4 linked regions of the Canis lupus familiaris genome follow. The protein of the gene in region 1 purifies or fractionates together with the protein of each later gene. This does not show direct contact. Links are inferred from orthologs where the notes say so. Each region holds a gene or a part of one and is shown in the gene's direction. Other genes may lie near its edges. The genes, in order: SART3, PRPF3, TUT1 and PPIH.

The links.
Region 2: the proteins of SART3 (region 1) and PRPF3 purify together in Homo sapiens (affinity purification with mass spectrometry; 5 studies listed by BioGRID and IntAct, counting the BioPlex papers as one, with this or other methods). This does not show direct contact. The link is inferred for Canis lupus familiaris from reciprocal best matches to the Homo sapiens genes SART3 and PRPF3.
Region 3: the proteins of SART3 (region 1) and TUT1 purify together in Homo sapiens (co-immunoprecipitation; 4 studies listed by BioGRID and IntAct, counting the BioPlex papers as one, with this or other methods). This does not show direct contact. The link is inferred for Canis lupus familiaris from reciprocal best matches to the Homo sapiens genes SART3 and TUT1.
Region 4: the proteins of SART3 (region 1) and PPIH purify together in Homo sapiens (affinity purification with mass spectrometry; 3 studies listed by BioGRID and IntAct, with this or other methods). This does not show direct contact. The link is inferred for Canis lupus familiaris from reciprocal best matches to the Homo sapiens genes SART3 and PPIH.

The regions. Positions count from the first base shown.
Region 1 is NC_049247.1:18,673,128-18,678,189, forward strand, and holds part of SART3 (squamous cell carcinoma antigen recognized by T-cells 3), read left to right. Parts: intron 1-1,215; coding exon 1,216-1,342; intron 1,343-2,692; coding exon 2,693-2,797; intron 2,798-5,062. UniProt on the Homo sapiens protein: U6 snRNP-binding protein that functions as a recycling factor of the splicing machinery. Promotes the initial reassembly of U4 and U6 snRNPs following their ejection from the spliceosome during its maturation.
Region 2 is NC_049238.1:60,225,589-60,230,650, forward strand, and holds part of PRPF3 (U4/U6 small nuclear ribonucleoprotein Prp3), read left to right. Parts: intron 1-1,450; coding exon 1,451-1,594; intron 1,595-2,503; coding exon 2,504-2,603; intron 2,604-2,775; coding exon 2,776-2,889; intron 2,890-3,978; coding exon 3,979-4,097; intron 4,098-4,378; coding exon 4,379-4,462; intron 4,463-5,062. UniProt on the Homo sapiens protein: Plays a role in pre-mRNA splicing as component of the U4/U6-U5 tri-snRNP complex that is involved in spliceosome assembly, and as component of the precatalytic spliceosome (spliceosome B complex).
Region 3 is NC_049239.1:54,565,546-54,571,126, forward strand, and holds the start of TUT1 (speckle targeted PIP5K1A-regulated poly(A) polymerase), read left to right. Parts: upstream 1-1,855; 5' UTR 1,856-1,931; coding exon 1,932-2,013; intron 2,014-2,274; exon of another isoform or gene 2,275-2,426; intron 2,427-3,654; coding exon 3,655-3,845; intron 3,846-5,581. UniProt on the Homo sapiens protein: Poly(A) polymerase that creates the 3'-poly(A) tail of specific pre-mRNAs. Localizes to nuclear speckles together with PIP5K1A and mediates polyadenylation of a select set of mRNAs, such as HMOX1.
Region 4 is NC_049236.1:753,702-759,529, reverse strand, and holds the start of PPIH (peptidyl-prolyl cis-trans isomerase H), read left to right. Parts: upstream 1-2,519; 5' UTR 2,520-2,608; coding exon 2,609-2,674; intron 2,675-2,903; coding exon 2,904-2,968; intron 2,969-3,219; coding exon 3,220-3,243; intron 3,244-3,520; coding exon 3,521-3,565; intron 3,566-4,460; coding exon 4,461-4,503; intron 4,504-5,828. Other genes in the region: CCDC30 (coiled-coil domain-containing protein 30), read left to right, coding at 7-130. UniProt on the Homo sapiens protein: PPIase that catalyzes the cis-trans isomerization of proline imidic peptide bonds in oligopeptides and may therefore assist protein folding. Participates in pre-mRNA splicing.

The DNA.
Region 1 (5,062 bases):
GAGATCTTGACCTGAGACGAAATCAAGAGTTGGATGCTTAACTCATTGAGCTACCCAGGTGCCCTCTTAGTTTATTGAGACCAGAAACATTTAAGATAAATCCTGCTATGTTAGGTCTAAAGCCTAACATTTTATTATTTTCTATTTCCTCTGTTTCTAAATGTTCTGTTTCTCTTTCTTTGCCTTCCTACGAGTTACTTGAACATTTTTTAGGATTTCATCTTGATTTATTTATAATGAGTTTTGGTGTAGCGCTTTGTATAGTTTCTTAGTGGTTGCCTTGGGTATTAATGGTGTATTTGACTTACATGGTATCTGTGTTCTACCACTGAGTGAAGTGTGGAAACTTAGTTCCATTTAAGTCCCTTTACCATCCCCACTTGTAAATATTATTGTTTTGAGTATCAGATGGTCTTAAAACTTTTGTGTCAGTTACCACATAAAACTTAGAAAACTCATGAGAAGGACCATTCCAGGATACTTGTCTGTATTTGGTGCTCTTTCAGTTCTTCCTTCCTGATGCTACATGATGTCTTTTATCATTCTTTTTTCTTCCTTTCTCTGTCTTTAAGAGAAAGTCTGCTAGTGACAGATTCTTTGTTTTCTGTTGTTTCAGACGTCTGATAGCTTTTTAAACAGTTATTTTAACTTGTTTTAACTTTTAGTTTGAAAAGTTTCAAATCTATAAATCTGTATACCTATCACTCAGCTTCAACAGGTACTGCCATTCTTGTTTCTCCCAGTAGGGATTTTCACTTTTGTGTGTGTTTGTTTAGTAAAAGAAGAAAGCTCTTATAGAGCTGGCAGGTGCTAAAGCATGTTATTAATCACCTTTTGAAACCCTCACAAGAACCTTATGGACTAGACCCTAGTGGTATTCCCATTTTACAGATGAGGAAATAGAGGCTTGGCAAAGTTAATAACCTAAGGTCACACTGTGTGTGTGTTTGTTTCATCGGGATGTTTCCTGTATTTCAAAGAAACCTAACTACGTTCTCCTCCAGCTAGAACAGATTGGAAGAGATATGCATTTATTAGAGAAAAAGAGATTTTCTTTCTCTTCCTGGAGGTAAATGTTGTATCACTGTCTCAGTGGCTCTCCCAGATAGCACATTTGTTTGTTGCAGACATGTGCATTGTTCCCGGTGGTTAAAAGGTGCTAGGTTATTTTGATGGTGGCATTTTAAATTTCACCTGGTGTTCTTTTCCTTTTAGCTATCTATTAACGTCTATGACTACAACTGCCATGTGGATTTGATCCGGCTGCTCCGCCTGGAAGGGGAGCTTACCAAAGTGAGGATGGCTCGCCAGAAGATGAGTGAGATCTTTCCTTTGACTGAAGGTAACATATCAGCAGCGAGGCTGCTTTAATAAACAGAGAACTGAAGAGTATATATTCTGTTTTCAGAGCTGAAACTGGGACGTGTTACTTACAGAAATCTGGAACATATAAATAGAATGCAAAGAAGAAAACCCATCATCCATTGTCCATGATTTCTAGTTTTTCATCCTCTAGTTTTTTTTGCAAAACTTAGTTGTGATCATATAATCTTGATTCATATTTTGGATTCTGTTGTTGTTTTTTTTAATCCTATGTCATGATGAAAACTTTTTATGTGATTAAACTTTTCCCGTGTCTATTTTCCATTCCAGTGTTTATATATTTAATCCATTCTCTCAGCACCACATAATTGTATTATAATTAAACTGTTGTTTTCCTTTTTTTTTTTTTAAGATCTTCAGAGAGAGAGAGAGAGAGAGAGAGAGAGAACAAGCAAGGGGAGCAGCAGGCAGAGGGAGAAGGAGAGGCAGGCTGCCCACTGAGCAGGGAGCCTGACATGGGGCTCGATCCCAGGACCCTGGGATCATGACCAGAGATGAAGGCAGATGGTTAGCTAAGTCACACAGGCACCCCTAGTTAAGGTTTTATAAACAATTTTTAATGCAAATGTTTTATACCTTGTTTGTTACACAGTATTTGGGCATTTAGGTTATTTATACTTACTTGCTTATTTGAAACATAATTACACCATGCATCTTGTAGAAGAGTGTTCAGGAATGTTTATTATAATTGATCTTTTAGGGAGGCTTTGGAGAATGCTGGTCCCAGATCCAGCTCTGTCCCCCTCTCTCTGCCCAAAAGCATAACTGCTGAGTATGAAATCAGATTGCCCAGATTCATTCCTGGTTTTATTATTTTACTAGCTGTATGACCTTAAGCAAATTATGTAAACATTGTAAGACTCAGTTTTCCCAGCAGTAAAATGGGCTAACAATATCTTCTGCCTTATAGTACATGGATTGGATGAGATATCCTATGTACAACATGTAACAAATACTCTAGAATATCGTAAATGCTTTGATAAATGCCATTAGTATTCATTATTATGACTATCATCTACAGGAATTTAACAAAGATTGAATGAGAAATATATATGTGTAAGTATTTCACAAAAATAATAAAATGCCCAACAGGTGTAGGGTATTATGATTTTAGTTGTTTGATCTTATTGGAAGCATAAACCTTCTATGTGCTTGGTACAGGTTTTAAGAATTGAATTTCTGTGAACCGTAGCAAGTTGTATATGGTGGGTAAAATGCTTGTGTGCTCGTGACTCAGAGTAAAGTCCCTGCTTTCATCCTGCCCTTCGGGGAAGGAGATGGTGATGCAGGAGGTGCTGTTGTCTTGCAGAGCTCTGGCTGGAGTGGCTGCATGATGAGATCAGCATGGCTCTGGACGGCCTGGACAGAGAGCACGTGTACGAACTCTTTGAGAAAGCTGTGAAGGATTACATTTGTAAGTTCCCCATTCACTTTTTCTAAGTGTCTGTGAATGCATCCATCTCTGCTGCCCTGGGTTGTACTGTGAGGTGTGCCCCCAATTCAGAAAGGAGGGGGTTAGTCTGGCAGTTAAAAAGATTTGAGTTTACTTATTTTTCTGTGGTTTTCATTTGAGAATATTTGGTTTTAAAATACATAGAAGAAACCTTTGTAGTAAAGGAGTGAATAAATTCACACCTAGTATCTTTCTGGCGGGGAGAACTTACATAGTATTTCCAGATGACTAAAGGTTGCCTTTTACATGTTGAATGGGTTTTTAGAAGTTTTGGACAGAAAACTGTTTTTGTTTTTTGTTTGTTTGTTTGTTTTTTTGATATTAAAAAGTTATTAAAACCTTTTTATTTTAAAATAATTACAGATTTACGGGAAAATAGTGCAGAAAGGTTCTATACTTACTTCATCCTGCTTTTCCCAATATCTTGTAACTATTGCACAAAATCAAAACCAGGGAATTAATCTTAGTGTACAATGTGTGTATCTACCTCTGAGATTTTATCAAACATGGAGATTCTAGTAACCACCACTGTAGTTGAGATACATAACCCTCTATCCCCACAGATGTCTGTGTTGTCTGCTTGAGTTGATGTTTTGCTAGCACAGGTGGAGGGTAGACCCCTCTCCCTTTAAGTTTCTTTACCCTCCCCTGTTGGTAGCATGATTCTCTATTCTCTCTCTCTCTCTCTCTTTTTTTTTTTTTAAGATTTTATTTATTTGTGAGTGACAGAGGAGAGAGAGGCAGAGACATTGAGGGAGAAGCAAGCTACCTGCAAGGATCCTGATGTGGGACTCGATCCTGCATCCTGGGATCACACCCTGGGCCAAAGGCAGATGCTCAGCTGCTGAGCCACCCAGGCGTCCCCGGTTCTTTATTCTCTGTATGTACATTTAGGACACATCAGAGAATGCTGTGGGCAAAATGTTTTTTAAAAATATTTTTTAAAAAGCACTCCTTTTATTTATTTATTTTTTAAAGGTTTTATTTATTTGAGAGGGTGTGCATGCAAGCTGGGGGAGTTGGGAGGGGAAGAGCAGAGGGAGAGGGACAAGTAAACTCCATGCTGAGCACGGAGCCCAATCCTGAGATCATGACCTGAGCTGAAATCAAGAGTCAGATGCCCAACCAACTGAGCCACCCAGGCGCCCCCCCCGCCAATGTTTTCTCCTTTTAAATTAAACATCCTTCTTCCATATCTGGTTCTCCCCACTCCCCACTGGGGGAATTTCACCTTGTGAGAATCCCTGGAACTTGGAAGATAGACTGCCCTGAGGAAGAGAATTTTTCAAATTTACTACCCAAAAGAATTGATCAATTTTTGAGTTTATATAATCCAGATACTGAAAATTACAGGTGTTTTGTGAATGTGAAATTACACCATATGTGCTGTTAGAAGCTATACTTCGTCTCTCCTCTGATCTGCCCGTGTGGCTGCTTAGAACCTCTTGACCGTTCTGAAGGTGATGTTCCCATGTGTTGGGATGATCCAGTCACCTCTTTGTGAAGGTCTCAGAGTCATTAACAGCACCAGTTCTTTTTCTCCAAGGATCTTTTGTTCTTCCACAGACTGTAATGCTTTTCGGTCCTTTTGGTCCTTGATGGTTTGCGGTCACCCTGCCTTCGGACCTCACTTTCAGTGTTGATGTCAGGATGCCTGCCTTTCCCCCAACGGATTCAGGGCTGCCGGTGGTCAGGAAGTCTGATGACTGTACCATTTAGATTAGATCTTTCTCTTTTTTTGTTTTTTTGCTTTTTAAAGATTTTATTTATTCACGAAAGAGAGAGACAGAGAACATAGGCAGAGGGAGAAGCAGGCTCCACGCAAGGAGCCCGATGCGGGACTCTCTCCCGGGACCCCAGGATCACACCCTGGGCCAAAGGCAGACGCTCAACTGCTGAGCCACCCAGATGCCCCATCTTGAAGCAGTTTTGATTTGGGGCCCTTGGGGTTCTTGTGTTAATTTCAGGAGCCGTGGATCATGGAAATTGTGTCACTTGTTCTTTGAATGTTCGGAAGCCACTTTGGCCTGTTTCTTAGGTTTTTTTTTTTTTTTTTTTTAAATATTTTATTTATTTATTCATGATAGACATAGAGAGAGTGGGGGGTGCAGAGACACAGACAGAGGGAGAAGCAGGCTCCATGCCGGGAGCCTGACGTGGGACTCGATCCTGGGACTCCAGGAGCACGCCCTGGGCTGAAGGCAGCGCTAAACCACTGAGCCACCC
Region 2 (5,062 bases), on another chromosome or scaffold:
TAGCAAAAACCTATTGGCTCACTCAAAAGAGAAAGGTTTTAGTTGTGGCTGTGTTTTTAACTAGCTGAATCCCTTGGGTAAATCACTTAGCACACAGAACTTTCTCATAAGTAGAGATAATATTAACTGTTATACCTTCTTCAAGAGTTATGTAGGTCATAAAAGATTTTTACACTTTGATCAGATTTGGGATGAATAGAAGAGATAATATTTCAATTAGTAAATTTGGAAAAATAGATTAAGACCTTGAGGTGTGGGATCCCTGGGTGGCGCAGCGGTTTAACGCCTGCCTTTGGCCCAGGGCGCGATCCTGGAGACCCGGGATCGAATCCCATGTCGGGCTCCCGGTGCATGGAGCCTGCTGCTCCCTCTGCCTGTGTCTCTGCCTCTCTCTCTCTGTGACTATCAGAAATAAATAAAAATTTAAAAAAATACTAAAAAAAAAAAAAAGACCTTGAGGTGTTACAATGTATGATAATCATTCAATATTAGTTAATCAGAGTATACTTAGTTGTCATCATTGTGAATTATTAGAAGAACATGGGGGATTTTGTTTGTTTTAAAAAGTGAGTGGTGCCTGGGCAACTCAGTTGAGTGTCTAATTCTTGATTTCACCTCAGGTCATGATCTCAGAATCATGAGATTGAGGGGAGCCCTACAGGCTCAATGGGGAGTCTGCTTGAGATTCTCTCCCTCTACCCCTCCCCCTACTAGCATGTGTGCAGGATCTTTCTCTATAAAATAAATTAACAATTTTTTTTAAGATTTTATTTATTTATTCATGTGAGACACAGAAAGAGGCAGAGACACAGGCAGAGAGAGAAGCAGGCTCCACACGGGGAGCCCGATGTGGGACTCGATCCCAGGACTCGAGGATCACGCTCTGAGCTGAAGGCAGAAGCTTAACCACTGAGCCACTGAGCCACATCCCTAAATAAACAAATCTTTAAAAAATATTACTAAAAGATTGAGAACACACCTGGCTGCCTCAAATCAAAAGAGCATGAGACTCTTGATCTCAGGGTTGCGAGTTCAAGCCCCATTTTGAGTGTAGAGATTACTTAAATAAACTTTTAAAAAATAATAATAACAAATAAAATTTAAGAAAATTAAATAAACTGCTTTGGGAGTCCAGAGGATTTTCCTGTAACTCCAAAATTATAAATTTCATCTTGGCCCCACCTAACCCAAATACTCATGCAGAGCAACTAGAGCAGCTCTAATTTTGTTTTCTGTATTTGCTACTTTTCAGTTGATTAAAGCGTTCACCTGCTTCAAGAAAAAACAAGTTAGAACACTTATGAAAGATAAGGATGCTTTTAAAAAATGTAACATACTACCATTATCCAACTTAAAAATAGCAAATTTCTTTTAATGTGAGTGATTGATTGTCACCTACCTTCCTCTAATGGGCTTCTTGCTTTTATACTTTCATTTCTCTACCTGGCAGTTGACAATGACACACCAGTTACTCTGGGGGTGTATCTTACCAAGAAGGAACAGAAGAAACTTCGAAGGCAAACAAGGAGGGAAGCACAGAAGGAACTACAAGAGAAAGTCAGGCTGGGCCTGATGCCTCCTCCAGAACCCAAAGGTACGTATCTTGGAGGCAAAGAAGAAAGGGTGGTACATTTGTTTATCCCTGTATTTCTAGAGGAACTTTTATATCTCTCTGTATTTGGGTGCTTTTTGTTTTCTCTGAATCATTCATTGATTTTTTTCTTCCTATTCTAAATTTTCTACAATCTTGTTAAGACAGGTCAACATATTCGGTGTAGAGGTCATTTAAGGTTTATTTGTAAAGTGTAAAAATATATAACACTGATCTTCCTGGAAGAGTAATGGTCTTGAAATTCATGAAGATAGTAGTTACAGTGTTTGCATAGAGTGTTTTGTACATAACTCTTAATATTTGAAAAATGAAAATACTGTTGAAAGAAACCTTCACTCCTGTAGTTTCCATTATCACTCAGTAATATTTGAGTGAGCACTGTTATGTGTAGGATCTTTTATTAAATGCTGTGATCAGGGGCAGCCCAGGTGGCTCAGTGGTTTAGCGCTGCCTTCAGCCCAGGGCCTGCCTGATCCTCTAATGGGCTGGAGACCTGGGATCAAGTCCCACATCTGGCTCCCTGCATGGAGCCTGCTTCTCCCTCTGCCTGTGTCTCTGCCTCTCTCTCTGTGAGTCTCTCATAAATAAATAAAAATCTTTATTAAAAAAAAAAATGCTGTGATCAGAGTGAAAAATACCAACGAAATTAAAGTTCCTTATCTATCATAAATTTTCAAGCAGTGTAAATAAATGTATACCAACTGTATAGATTGTGTGACCTTCCACAAATACTGAGTTAATTGGATGGGCTTTTCAAGGTGTAGGGGTTTTTGGAGGAAATAAACTTGGAGCAGAGATTTGAAATAGGTAAATAGTTGAATTGATTGAGAAAAGGTGACAAGTTATCCCAGCTGGAGAATTCATTGTTTTCTATCCTCTCTCCACTTGCAGTGAGAATTTCAAATTTAATGCGAGTATTAGGAACAGAAGCTGTTCAAGACCCCACGAAGGTAGAAGCCCATGTCAGAGCTCAGATGGCAAAAAGACAGAAGTAAGTGCCATGGGATTGGGTGGAAACCCGGGCAAGTACCTTTCCCAGACTCTTCTGAGGGGATCCATATTTGGAGGGAGGGGAGAGTCCTCTGTTGCTCTCTCTTTCCCTCAGCTTTGCCTCTGATCTTCAATGCCTTTCTCACTTGTGGATGTCCTTCCTGTCACGACAGAGCGCATGAAGAGGCCAACGCTGCCCGAAAACTTACAGCAGAACAGAGAAAGGTCAAGAAAATTAAAAAGCTTAAAGAAGACATTTCACAGGGGGTACACATATCTGTATATAGGTAGGTGTCCAAACTGGGCCAGCCTTTGCCTTAGAAATACCAAAAACTTTTCCAAGTGCTTGAGGCAGAATCACTGTGGTCTAACATCAGTCCCTACTCTCTTCTGTGACCTCAACATGAATCAGGAGCTAGTAAATCTTTTATAATGAGGGAGGGTTAAAGACTTACTGTTCTATCTCTGAGAGCTTCTCAGTGAACCAGTACTAGTTCTGAAGAATGAATGAATGAATGAATGAATGAATGAATGAATGAATGAATATACCTGGTGAGACCAACATATGAACTAAGGATCATTCTCTATGTGAAATAAAATATAATCTATTTCTTCAGGAAGCATCAAAAGTTTCTTTCTTCAGTAACTATATTCTTATTCTCATGTAATGTAGTAATCCTTTTATTCCCACTACAAAATACATTTTGCACATTGTAAATATTTTCTACCTTCTTGTTGATTTAATGTCTTCATTTTATTTTTATGTTGAGTACGTGTGTACCTTCCATTTTTTAAAAGTGCTCTTGTTTAATAACTAGTTCTTTATTATGAAAGTGATACATTATTACAAAGTAATGAATATTTAAGAATTTTTTTAATATAACAGTATAGAAGGCCTTTACTGAAAAAAGTCCCCTTCTTGCTCTCTGATCCCTTACTGCTTACTGTAGATAATTGCTACTAACAATTTTTTGTAATTCTAGAAAATTCTAGAAATTTTCCATGCATAGCATTCTGGTAACTTGACATTATAAGCATCTAGAAGGCAAAGAATTTGTTGATCATTACACTGTCAAGAACAATTAGCTTGCAAGTACTTTTGGATAGTGGTAATACCTCTTCTTTCTTAGAGTAAATTTTGATTACCTGCTATTTGTTGTGTGTGTGTACAATACTGGTCTTTGAAGTATAAGACAGTGGAGTTACTTCAAGACTTACTGATTCTGCCTTTCTTTCAAGCGTTAGTGTACGTGCTTACTCCAGAGGCTGTTGTTTGTAGAGAGAAAACCATTGTGGAACATCTGTTTATTTGCCATTCCATTCAGGCAGCTACTGATGCTAAAACAAAAGCCATAATTAAACTTTCCCTTCTCCAGAGTTCGAAATTTGAGCAATCCAGCCAAGAAGTTCAAGATTGAGGCCAATGCTGGGCAACTGTACCTGACAGGGGTGGTTGTACTGCACAAGGATGTCAACGTGGTAGTAGTGGAAGGGGGTGAGTCCGAAAAAACTGAGGGAGACTGTCCCCACACAACCCTAGGCCTTGAAGTGAATAGAATGGTGGGGAAAAGGAGGAGAAGATAAGTGTTTTAGAGCCACGCCTAGGTATAACGTCCTGGGTTTCTGTTTCTGTGTTTATTGGAGTAGAAGAACCTAAAATGTGGTTTCCAAGATTGCAACTACCACCTTAGGGTCTGAGTAACAAATGAGCTCAGAGGTTCTTTCTACTTCATCATCTTCCACCATTCTGGCAAAATTCTCCTTCTCTGTTTCCAGGCCCCAAGGCCCAGAAGAAATTTAAGCGTCTTATGCTGCATCGGATAAAGTGGGATGAACAGACATCTAACACAAAGGGAGATGGTGAATGGGGGTTAGAGGGGATTAAGTGGGAGGTGGGGATGGTACTCTGTCCATTCATCTATTCCCTCCCACTGAAACTTGATCACACTACATATTGTGGAGGAATTTTAGAAAGACCTGTTTGGACTATGAACATAGTAGACATTCATAGAGTTTTTATTATGTGATGATATGTGTGAGGGTTAGTTATTCTGCCCGACCTTTAAGGCCTTTCTATTAGCTGGTTTCACTGTCTGCCTATATTTACACAGGTTATGGGCATATATTTAGTTTGTGAAATTTAGCAGGCTATGCATTTATATGTGCATTGTCTATATTATACTATTTTTAAAGAAGTTTTTAAAAGTTTTTTAAAGGCAAAAAATATATATACAGATATATATATATATACACACACACTTTTCTTTAGCCCAACTTTATATAGATATAAAATAAAAAATATAAAATACATGTATATATTTGATACCCTCCTGTTATTCTTCTATCAATATTCATTCTTACCTTCTTTGAAGCCCTGCTTTAGCAATATGTGCTTACCTTACTTTTCTTAATTTTACCTAACTTTGCAGACCCTCTTATGTTTTTTGTCTTTATTTTTGT
Region 3 (5,581 bases), on another chromosome or scaffold:
ATTGGAAAAATAAAGGACAATGGGTGATAAAGGAGATACAGATGGGGCTTGCCTGGGAACAGCTTTAGGAGCTAGGCAGCCTGTTCCGGCTAGCTTTCTCGTGGGACCCAAACTGCTCCCCAGCTCCCTGTGGTGCTGGAACCCAGGCTCCCTCTTGGCACACAGATTGAGAACGGTTGGAATGGATGGACCCTGGATGGTTGGTGGCTTCCACAGGAAGGGAGGTGGGAAGATGCTTTTTCTTCTATTTTCCAACCCTTAACCTCTCTTTTAGGAAATTCTGGGAGTTGCTAGAGATCAGGGCAAGATGTAGCCTACTTGGGGGGCAGGGTGCTGCACTCTTACCACCCAGCCCTGTGGTATGTTTGCAGATTGCTGCTTCAGGGATTCCCAAGACCAGCCTCAGCACCTGCCTTGATATTGAGGGCACGCTCTAGAGCTGTCTCCCGCCTTTTTGGGTTTGGGAAACAGAAGTCTGAGCAGGGTCCAACAGGAGGAGCACCCTTACAGAGTGAACAAGAATTAAGCCTATTATGAGTTCCTTCCACGCACTTCCTTGAAGATAGGGGACAGCCTCAGCAATCAGCACTTCCTTAAGGTCACAGACCTTGAGCTGTCTGCCTCAGGCCCAGTGTGCTTTCCACAGTCTAGAGCTGCGGACTGATAACCACAGCAGGAGCTGCTCAGACCCTTGAGAGTCCTCTCCAGCTCCCTTCTCGGCCCCTGGGGCCTCCCCAGCGACTTCGCTCTCCCCACTCTGAGCTTCCACCTCGACAGCATCAGGAACTGCCCGCTACACCAGTCTGGGGAGAGGGGGAAAGTAGCATTTTCTCCCTCCAAGGTCTTGGCTCAGTTGCCACCAGCGCAGGTTCTGCCGCATGCCTTGAAGTGGGCCGGTGGCTCCGGCTCCTCATGGCAACACTCCACGCAGTCAACTAATGCAGGAGGGAAACGTGACTCACCGGGACCGCAGCGATCTGGCCGTGGTTGAGCGGAGTCCGCGAGCTGCCCGGTGGGGACAGAGCTCCCCGACCAGGGCGGGGAAATGGTCGCATGACACCCATTGAAGGGAGGACCGAGGGCAGAGGGAGAAGCCGCAGCCCTAGGGAACTCGGGAGTCCGGGGACAGCCTTGAGCTTCGTGAAGTCGGCCCATCCTCCCCCTTTATTCGCCAGGTGAATTGGGTTCGGGGGTGGAGCGCCGCGGTCCCTAGCGCCCCTTGAAGGAGGGTAAACCGCGTACTTCGAAGCACCCAGCAGGCAACCACCAGCCTGCGAGAAGCAGCCCCGGCGCCGGCTTTTGTAGTCGCCCTCATAAATATTCATGAGGCTTTGGGCCAATCACCGCCGGAATGACTCAGAGTTCACCAATCGACTTGCAGCATGCAGATAAGTATCAAAGACTTGGCGGCTGGGACGTCCGGCTGGCTCAGCGGTTTAGCGCCGCCTTCAGCCCAGGGCCTGATCCTACAGACCCGGAATCGAGTCCCACATCGGGCTCCCTGCATGGAGCCTGCTTCTCCCTCTGCCTGTCTCTCTGCCTTGTGCTCTCTCTCTCTCTCTGCGTCTCTCATGAATAAATAAATAAATAAATAAATAAATAAATAAATAAATAAATAAATAAATAAATAAATAAATAAATAAATAAATAATAAATAAATAAATAAATAAATAAATAAATCTTAAAAAAAAAAAACAAAAAAGAAAAGACTTGCGGCTTTCTCCGAAGCTGGTAGAAGAAACAACGCGGAGTGGAAACGGAACCCTGAGTCGAAGGAGCTGTTTCCCAAGCCGGGGAGCGTGTTTGCGCGACTGGTCCGTGCTACGTCACTTCCTATCCGCCTGGCGGAAGTTGCTTCCAAGCGCTCTGCGATTTGTAGGCGTGAGTTCCGGTGGGGGCCGCAGTGGTGGTGTGCGGTCGGGAGAGTCGCGATGGCGGCGGTGGATGCGGATGTCCAGTCGCTGCCTCGTGGGGGCTTCCGCTGTTGCCTCTGCCACGTTACTACAGCCAACCGTAAGCGGTGGTTGTGAGTTTTCGTCTTTGGGTCCTAGCGAGGGTTAGAGGTGGAGGGCATAGTCCTTGGCAGGTCGGTTGGTAGGGCCGCTCGCCTCCGTTTTCGCTCCGCCTAGACCAACGGGCTGCAGAGTGGCGGAAGTCCTGCCGCTTCTCCCTCTCCTTCCCAGCATCCGAAATCTCCACAACGAACGTTTCATTCTTATTCCCTCTTTAACCGTCGCCTGTTGGACGCCACCTTTGTGTCTGGTACTCTTCTAGGCTCTCGGGTGGGGTGAGGGGATTCAGAGGTGGAGACCTGGAGAGCCGTAGGATCACAGAGAAAGTCGCGGTTAACTCAGGGAAGCCCTACAGAGGAGCGACCCAAAGGCAGAGACGGGCGGAGTAGCATGGCGTGCATGACTAGGAAGAAGGTGGGTTTGGCAAAGTAGACAGGGTTCTTGTAGGACAGCACGCAGGACTCCATGAAACCTCAGATTCCACTTTTGAAGTCTGGAGTCGTGATCTTCCCTAAACAGGAGCTTCTATCCTTGTGTGTGTGTGTGTGTGTGTGTGTGTGTGTGTGTCACTATCACCGTTTGCCCCATAGGGCAAGCCAAAAATCCAAGATAGTCTTTTCTGGCCCCACATATTCATCGGTGGCAACAAACAGCTGACCCAGAATTTAACAAAAATAATAATTGCTAACTTTTCCCATGTTCTATATGTGTATGCCCTTGTGGTTAGTTGTATCCATATCTTCGTTTTGTGGCCCACGAAATTGATGCACAGAGAAGTTAAGTGACTGGCCCAAGATCTCACACAGTTTGCCAGAACTGGGATTTATTATTATTATTATTATTATTTCATTTATTTATGATAGTCACACAGAGAGAGAGAGAGAGAGGCAGAGACATAGGCAGAGGGAGAAGCAGGCTCCATGCACCGGGAGCCCGACGTGGGACTCGATCCCGGGTCTCCAGGATCATACCCTGGGCCAAAGGCAGGCGCTAAACCGCTGCGCCACTCAGGGATCCCAGAACTGGGATTTAAACTTGAGCAGTGTGACCTCAGACCATGCACTTGCAATCTCTCTACCATACCTAGAGACCATCCGTGACGTCTAGGGTCCTGCTTTATTTAGTTCTTCTGTAATATGATCTGGATAAGTTTCCTGTTATTTATTTATTTATTTTTAAAAATAATTTTCGGGTGTTGCTTTACCTAGCACTTAGAGAGGGTTTTCTTTTGTTTTGTTTTTTTAAAGATTTTTATTTATTTCTCCATGATAGTCACACAGAGAGAGACAGAGAGAAGCAGGCTCCATGCAGGGAGCCCGACGTGGGATTTGATCCCGGGTCTCCAGGATCGCACCCCCGGGCCAAAGGCAGGCGCCAAACCGCTGCGCCACCCAGGGATCCCAAGGGTTTAAGAAAAATTTGTAGCTAGTTGTCCTGGGAACTACTTAGAGAGAATACCTTATGTGGACAAATGGACAAGAGAGGGAGGTGAAAAGAGGCAGGACTTGGTTTATTCAAAGGCCACCCTTTCTGTAGCTTGGAAGGATTGGTAAGATTTAGGTATGCATTTAGGTAAAGTCAAGGGGTGGGTACATTTGGATAGAGTGATTTGGATACTTTTGTTTCACAATTATCTCTGTAGGACCCAGCCTAGACGCCCACTTGGGAGGCCGGAAACACCGACACCTAGTAGAACTACGAGCTGCCCGAAAAGCCCAGGGACTTCGAAGTGTGTTTGTCAGTGGCTTTCCCCGGGATGTGGATTCTGCTCAGCTTACTCAGTACTTCCAGGCATTTGGACCTGTGGCGAGTGTCGTCATGGACAAGGACAAGGTAGAGTGAATGGCTTTTGGGGTAAAGAATGACTCAGGTGTGCCACGTACAAGAAGAAATGAGAGAGAAACCAGGAGCCCTGTTTCAGCTGGTGCCTTATGTGGCTTGTCCTTGATGGACACCACAGTACTTGGGCTAATTCAGCTTTGTGAGCCTTTGCCATCCCCTGCCCTGCCCCAAACTCCCACCTCCCCGGCTCCTGCTTGGATTTGTCAGTTTGCCAGAGTTAGTCATTGGGGGACTTTGGATCACTAATTTATTGTCTTCGTTTTATTTGCTAAAACTCCACTAAATGTGGAGTCTGCTTAAGATTCTCTCTCTTCCCCCGCTCTCTCAAATAAATAAATCTTTAAAAAAATACAGTCTACACACAGTGCCCAGTACTAAGTCAACAGTTAATATTTGGCAAATAAAACGAAATAAACCTTCTTTATTCCTTTGAAAAAAAGTTCAGTTTTACTGTTGTGTTGTATCATCATATTATAGTTCTCAGATTGTGCTCTGGTTATGTAAGCATGGCTTTGGTGATCGCAAATGGCTTTGGCAGCCCATATCTTCTCTTAGGATGGGCTGGGTGTGTTTTTCTTAGAGATCACATTTGGACAACTGACCCACAGAAGCTTTATTTTTTTTAAATTTTATTATTTATTTATTCATGAGCGACACACAGAGAAAGGCGGAGACACAGGCAGAGGGAAAAGCAGGCTCCTAGCTGGGAGCCCAATGTGGGACTCGATCCCGGGACCAGGATCACGCCCTGAGCCAAAGGCAGATGCTCAACTGCTGAGCCATCTAGGTGTCCCACTACAGAAGTTTTAACACAAGAGGTTTAATTGTTTCCTTTATTTTTTTTAAGAGTTTTTTTTATTAATTCATGAAAGAGAGAGAGAGAGAGAGAGAGGGGCAGACACATAGGCAGAGGGAGAAGCAGGCTCCCTGTGGGGAGCCCGATGTGGGACTCAATCCCAGGACCCCAGGACCCCAGGAACATGGCTTGAGACAAAGGCAGACGCTCAACTGCTGAGCCACCCAGGCATTCCTAATTGTTTTCTTTAACAAGAAGTCCAGACCTGGGCAGTCTGGGACTTGACTTTTCTCCTGCTCTGTCATTATTGGGCATGTGGTTCTCACTTCCTAGTTGTGATAATACTGCTTGCACATCTTCAGGTGAGAAAAAGGGGCAGGCTGAAGGACAGAGTATAAAAGGCTAATGCCAGCTGAGTCTGACTGTTTTCCCCTGCTTTTCTTTACTTTCCAGGAAAAGATCTTTTCCCAGAGCCCACATGTGTGGGGGGGTGGTCTCTTCTGTTTATGTATCCTTGCATCAGTGACACGCTGGCTTACTTAACTATGGTTTTGAAGAAGTTTTGATGCCTATTTCTGATGCCTATTAATATTTTCATTGGTGTTAGATGATAGATTAATTTGGGAAGAATTGGGTCTTTTATACTGAATCTTTCCATAAAAATGCTATGTCTTCATTATTGATATCTTTATTATTTTTTATTGTTTTTTTAGATTTTATTTATTCACGAGAGAGAGAGAGAGAGAGAGAGAGAGGCAGAGACACAGGCAGAGGGAGAAGCAGGCTCTGTGCAGGGAGCCTGACGTGGGACTTGATCCCCGGTCTCCAGGATCACACCCCGGGCTGAAGGCGGCACTAAACCACTGAGCCACCGGGGCTGCCCTATTGATATCTTTAAATGTAAAGTTTTATAATTAGTAACTTGTATTAG
Region 4 (5,828 bases), on another chromosome or scaffold:
TCTTAGTTTTTCAGGAAGAGGTTTGGTACAGTCAGTCAGAAACCTTCAAGAGCTTGAGGAACGTAAGTCAGAAGAAGCAATCGCAAACCTTGAAGTCCCCCAAGTCTCTTTAGGGTTCACAGAATTCTGAAGCTGGATACATAAAAGTGACTATTCTGAAAGAGACACAGTGCATCCAAGAACAAGACCAAAAGTCAGAACCATAAAATCACTGGTGGCTAAAACTAGACTGATCGAAGCTGCTAACTTAAAGCTTGGGTGTGAGGGTGGAACATGACATGGAGAAGAATTACCACAGATCCCCACTGGACATCAACTGAGAGTCTTTGAAATTGCTGATAAATTCATTAAACCAGTTATAAAAATATATTTCTCAAGTGTGTTTGATATCCTCAAGTAACTTTGTATTGATCAATAATAATGACTTAAGTTCAATGGTTTACTTAGTGTTCTGTTCAGCAGAGCACATATATGTCTAATTCAGCACTTTCCCCCTATTATCATGGGTATTAATTATTTTTGAAAAGTAAAAACAACATAATCATATTAAAGCAAATACTTTAAAGAGAAAAATCTCCTCTAATCCGGTATTCTTAACACAACTATTTTCATATATTCCTTTTTGGTTCTTATTCAAATGCATATATTTTTTAAGTGGTTGTTATAGGTTCATTTTCACAGTCTGATTTTTAGCTTAATATACCATAAAACAGGGGATCCCTGGGTGGCTCAGCGGTTTAGTGCCTGCCTTTGGCCCAGGGCGCCATCCTACGGTCCTGGGATCGGGTCCCAAGTCAGGCTGCAGGCATGGAGTCTGCTTCTCCCTCCTCCTGTGTCTCTGCCTCTCTCTCTCTATGTCTATCATGAATAAATAAATAAATAAATAAATAAATAAATAAATAAGATCTTTAAAAAAACATATATATACACCATAAAACATTTTCCTGTGTTTTAGCAGTCTTCATAATTATTCTTTCAGTAGCCACATGATATTCTATCACGTTGATGTTCTATAAATTATCTTGTTTGCATTCAAGTTGTTTCTGCTTTTTCACTATTTGAGATTATGCTGTGGTGAAAGTCTTTGCGAATATAACTCTTCTTTTCTCTCGAGTTACTCCAGAAAAGATTGGCAGTTATGGGCCAGAAGACACAAATGTTACACAGTTTTGGTATATCACTTGTAGTGTTGCTTTAAAAAAAAAAGAAAAAGAAAAACTTGTGTCAACATAATGTTTCTATAGTCAGACTTTTTTTCTTGTCTTTTCTTTTTATTAAGTAGGCTCCACACCCAGCATGGAGCCCAATGTGGGGCTTGAACACACCACCCTAAGATCAAGACCTGAGTTGAGATGCAGTCAGATGTTTAATCGACTGAGCCACTGGTGCCCCTATGGTCAACCTCTCTAAGCCTCAATTTCTTGATCCATAAATGGGAACAGTAGTCATTCCTGTCCCATAGAGTTGTGAGGACCAAAGTAAATGAAATGTGTATTTAGAACTTAGTAGCTGCTTAACAAATGCTAGGCATCATCACTGATTTTCACTAGCACTGGTTTTTCCACAACCTCATCAACATTGGATATTACCAATTAAAAAAAAATTATTTTAGAATAGTTGGTATAAACTATACTGAAGGGTGACTCCTGCTGTTCTTTCTTCCCATCCTGCTCCTCTCCCTCCTACTCTCCTCGGACTCTTTCTTCTCCCTCTTCAGTTGGAGATAGAGAAGGATACCAAGGGGAAAGGAAAAGTAACTAAAAATAAAAAAGACACCATTAAGTTGAGACATTGAGTTTTTACATGTAACCCCTGCTTCCGCAGACAACTGGCCAAAAAGGATGATCAAAGGATATAGGACACAATAGCTATGATATCAGATACAGGCTGTGACTCTAAGCCTTGCCCAAGGTCACCTTTTTTCACTCAATTCATTGAATCTATTTATTGGATCCTCACTATGGGCTACTCAATAGTAGGCACTAGAGCTAAGGATGGGAGGCCAGGAATGATCTATAAACAGGTTCATTTTAAAAGCTCTAGCTGGGGGCAGGTGGCTCAGCGGTTGAGCACCTGCCTTCGGTCCAGGGTGTGACCCTGGAGACCCGGGGTCGAGTCCCACGTGGGGCTCCCTGCATGGAGCCTGCTTCTCCCTCTGCCTGTGTCTCTGCCTCTCTCTTTCTCGTGATTAAATAAGAAAATCTTTAAAAGGGGGAAAAAAACAAAAAGCTCCAGCAGGAATGAACTGTAGGTGACAAGAGGGGCAGCTCGCGAGCAGAACCAGAACTCCGGTTCCGGCTTAACCCGAGCGCTCAGGGTCCAGCACCTAAGACCCACCGCCTCCCGCGCCGCCGCGGCGCACACTGAGCGGAGGGGGAAAGACGCGCCGTGTACGTCGGCTCGGAGGCCTTGGCCCCGCCCACTTCCGCGACGCCCAGTTTCGGCGCCGGAGGCCGGGAGCGCTCCGCAGCGGGGCGGGACTTCCGGGGGGCGGGGCCTGGCCTCGGGTGGCTCTGCCTGCGCCTGCGCCGGCGAGTAGAAGCCCCGGAAATCGGGGCTCGGGTTCGCCGGAACCGGTGCCTGCGGCTACTGCTTCCGGGTCGGAGCCATGGCGGTGGCAAATTCAAGCCCCGTCAATCCCGTGGTGTTCTTTGATGTCAGCATCGGCGGCCAGGTGAGGTTCCAGGCCCGGCCGGGAGGGTCTCCCGCACCCGGGGATAGCGGACTCGGGAAGCCAGAAGGCGAAGCTGGACCGGGACCTACCGACCTGCGGGGCGGGGGGCTCGGGAGGGAGAGGAGTCGTCTCGCGCATCCCAGCGCCCCGCCGGGGGGCGGGGGGGACCGGGCCGCCCCCCCGGATCCCTGCTCGCTGAGGCCTTCTGACCGTGTCCCGCCGCCTGCAGGAGGTCGGCCGCATGAAGATCGAGCTCTTTGCAGACGTTGTGCCGAAGACGGCCGAGAATTTTAGGTAAGGGGATGCTCATCGGAACCGGGAGCCGGACCGGGCCTGCGTGGCGGCCCGCTCCCCGCCCTTGAGATCGGAGCTCCGAATTGTCCCCGTTTTTACCCTTCCCATCTCAGTTCATCGTAATTCTGGGTGTCGAGGCCGGCGGGCCCGCGGGGGGCTCAGGCCGCGCTCCCCTCCCCGCCCCTCTGCGCCAGGAGCGCCCCCCGCTGTGGGGTCACCGAGACTGAAGCATCCCCTCTTTTCCCTTTCAGGCAGTTCTGCACTGGAGAATTCAGGTCAGTCTCTCAGACGTGGTTGACTCGTCTGCTCGCTCCTGAAGGGTGCCCCGGGGCCGCAGTGGGGTTTTGGGGAACCACGCCCGTAGGCCTTGAATGATTGCTGGTGCCGGTAGTAGAAGGTTAATACCCCAAGGGTCTGTCTTCAGTTCATTTGCCTCCTTTATCTCTCTCCTCCCCACCACCTTTAGAGAGTCTCTTGGCTCGAGTGTGTGGGAAGCTGGGAAGACCTGTCATTACTTGTCGTCATTCCAAGTCTCTTTCTTTTTGGTTATAGAAAAGATGGGGTTCCGATAGGATACAAAGGGAGCACCTTCCACAGGTAAGGCTTGGCAAACCATCCTGCAGGATTTTAGAATTACTTTCTAAAAAAGTAATTTCTTACTTTTTTTTTTTTTTAAGATTTTATTTATTTATTCATGAGAGACACAGGCAGAGGGAGAAGCAGGCTCCATGCAGAGAGCCGGACGCGGGACTTGATCCGGGGTCTCCAGGATCACACCCTGGGCCGAAGGCAGGCACGAAACCACTGAGCCACCCGGGCTGCCCTGTAATTTCTTACTTTCTTTAGAAAGTAAGATTCATTTCTTTAAAGGGAACTAAAACCATAGGATAATTCCTAGATCTTGAGAAGGAATGTTTTTTGTGAACTCAACAATAGATTTGAAGGCTTATTAAAAACCAAGGGATCCCTGGGTGGCTCAGCGGTTTAGCACCAGAACTTTGCCAACTGAATTCAGCAGAAATGCCAAGGTATTAACAGTAGGTGCAAGGTTACAATTAACAGTGTTCTCAGCATCCTCTCCCCCCATCCCCAGACCCCCAGGGATGGATTCTGATTAGCTAAAGCCAGTAAGAGCAGAACATTTTTTTTTTTTTTTTTAGAGCAGAACATTCTTTAAAAAGGAGGCAGCCCGCGTGGCTCAGCGGTTTAGCGCCGCCTTCAGCCCAGGGCGTGACCCTGGAGACCCCGGATCGAGTCCCACCTCAGGCTCCCTGCATGGAGCCTGCTTCTCCCTCTGCCTGTGTCTCTGCCCCCCCACCTCTCTCCCTCTGTCTCATGAATAAATAAATAAAGTCTTTAAAAAAAAAACAAAACACCAAAGTTTAAAAAACGTTTTATTTTTAAATCAGTGTTAATCTAAAGTATAATGAGTACGTCAATGTTTTTCTAAATGACAGAACCTTCTCTCAGGATGCTTTATTCTCTGTTTCAGGGTCATAAAAGATTTCATGATCCAGGGTGGGGATTTTGTTAATGTAAGTATTATTTCTTTGCTAATAAAGACCTGTAGGAATATTGGTTTTTATTACTGCTGTTGCTGCTATTTTTTTTGCTACGGAGTCCAGTCCTGAGGCTTGAAACAATAACCAAGTTTGATGAGGAAGAGGGGTGACAGGAATGTCCTTTAGAGTTGCTGGCTTCCACTCTTTATACCATTAGGTGACAGACATCAGCACCCTGATTGAGTCACTGACTTCCAAATCAGCCTTTTAGGGCCAGAAGCTAACTTTCCCAGCATGCCTATAGATGATCCATGAGAGATGCAAACTAGTCAGTCACATGAAACTTGGGTAGAAATCAGATGCAATTGTTTTGTTTTCTAAATGGCAGTAAGTTCTCTTTCAGTGAGCTAAATGCTTATGTCCTATTTGCACATGCCTGGAAAGCTGAGTTTTTCATCAGAAACCGATTTAGTGGGCAAAGAATCAGAGCAACAGAGGTAGATCATTCTGGAAGGATGTTTCCTCTATTTACTAGCGGGGCCCAGTAGAATGGCTCTTCGCTGCGATTAATGGACTTTCTTGTGACTAGACTGTATGTGTCTCTCATACCAAGCCTCTTCGCCCTCCTCTGACTCTGGAAGGTGCTGAATAAACCATATCTCTTCTTAAATCTACTTTTGTTCTTAACCAACCACTTGTGTGCATGTCTGTGGTCTTATTAATATCATTTGGTTAGTCATGTTGCTATTTTCTTGAGTCTTGGGAGATGTCTTTCTCCTTCTTATGTATATTTATTTAGTTAAACTTTGAGGAATTTTTAAAGACTTCCTTCCTGTCTAGGAAAGGTTACAAAGTGGCAGATTTTAGGCTGAACCAGACTTTTAGATACACGTTGTTTCATGTGTGTGATGTTGTAAAACTGGGACATTTCACCAGAAAATTCCAGAGTTTTGTTTTCTCTTTAAAGAATGGAAAACAGGTGTGCACTTGGCCTGTGTTTCTCATGTAGCAGCAATGGTTTAGAATCAAATAACTGTTCCTTTAATCAGGGTCTGTCCTTGCCATTTCACCTCAGTCACTACCACCTGCTTCCCTTACTTATGTCACTTGCCCCTGGAGGGCAAGTTTGCAACCCCTGGCTTCCACTGATGGTAGTAGGGCCTGGGCAACTGTATACTTTGTGGTACCTGGTAAGAAGGGCTAAAAATCTATTCTCTGCCCTTTCTTCCTCTTTTCTTCCTTTTCATCCTTTTTCTCTTTCTTTCTTTCTTTGTTTCTTTCTTTCTCTCTCTCTCTCTTTCTCCTTCCTTCCTTCCTTCCTCCTTTCCTTCCTTCCTTCCTTCCTTCCTTCCTTCCTT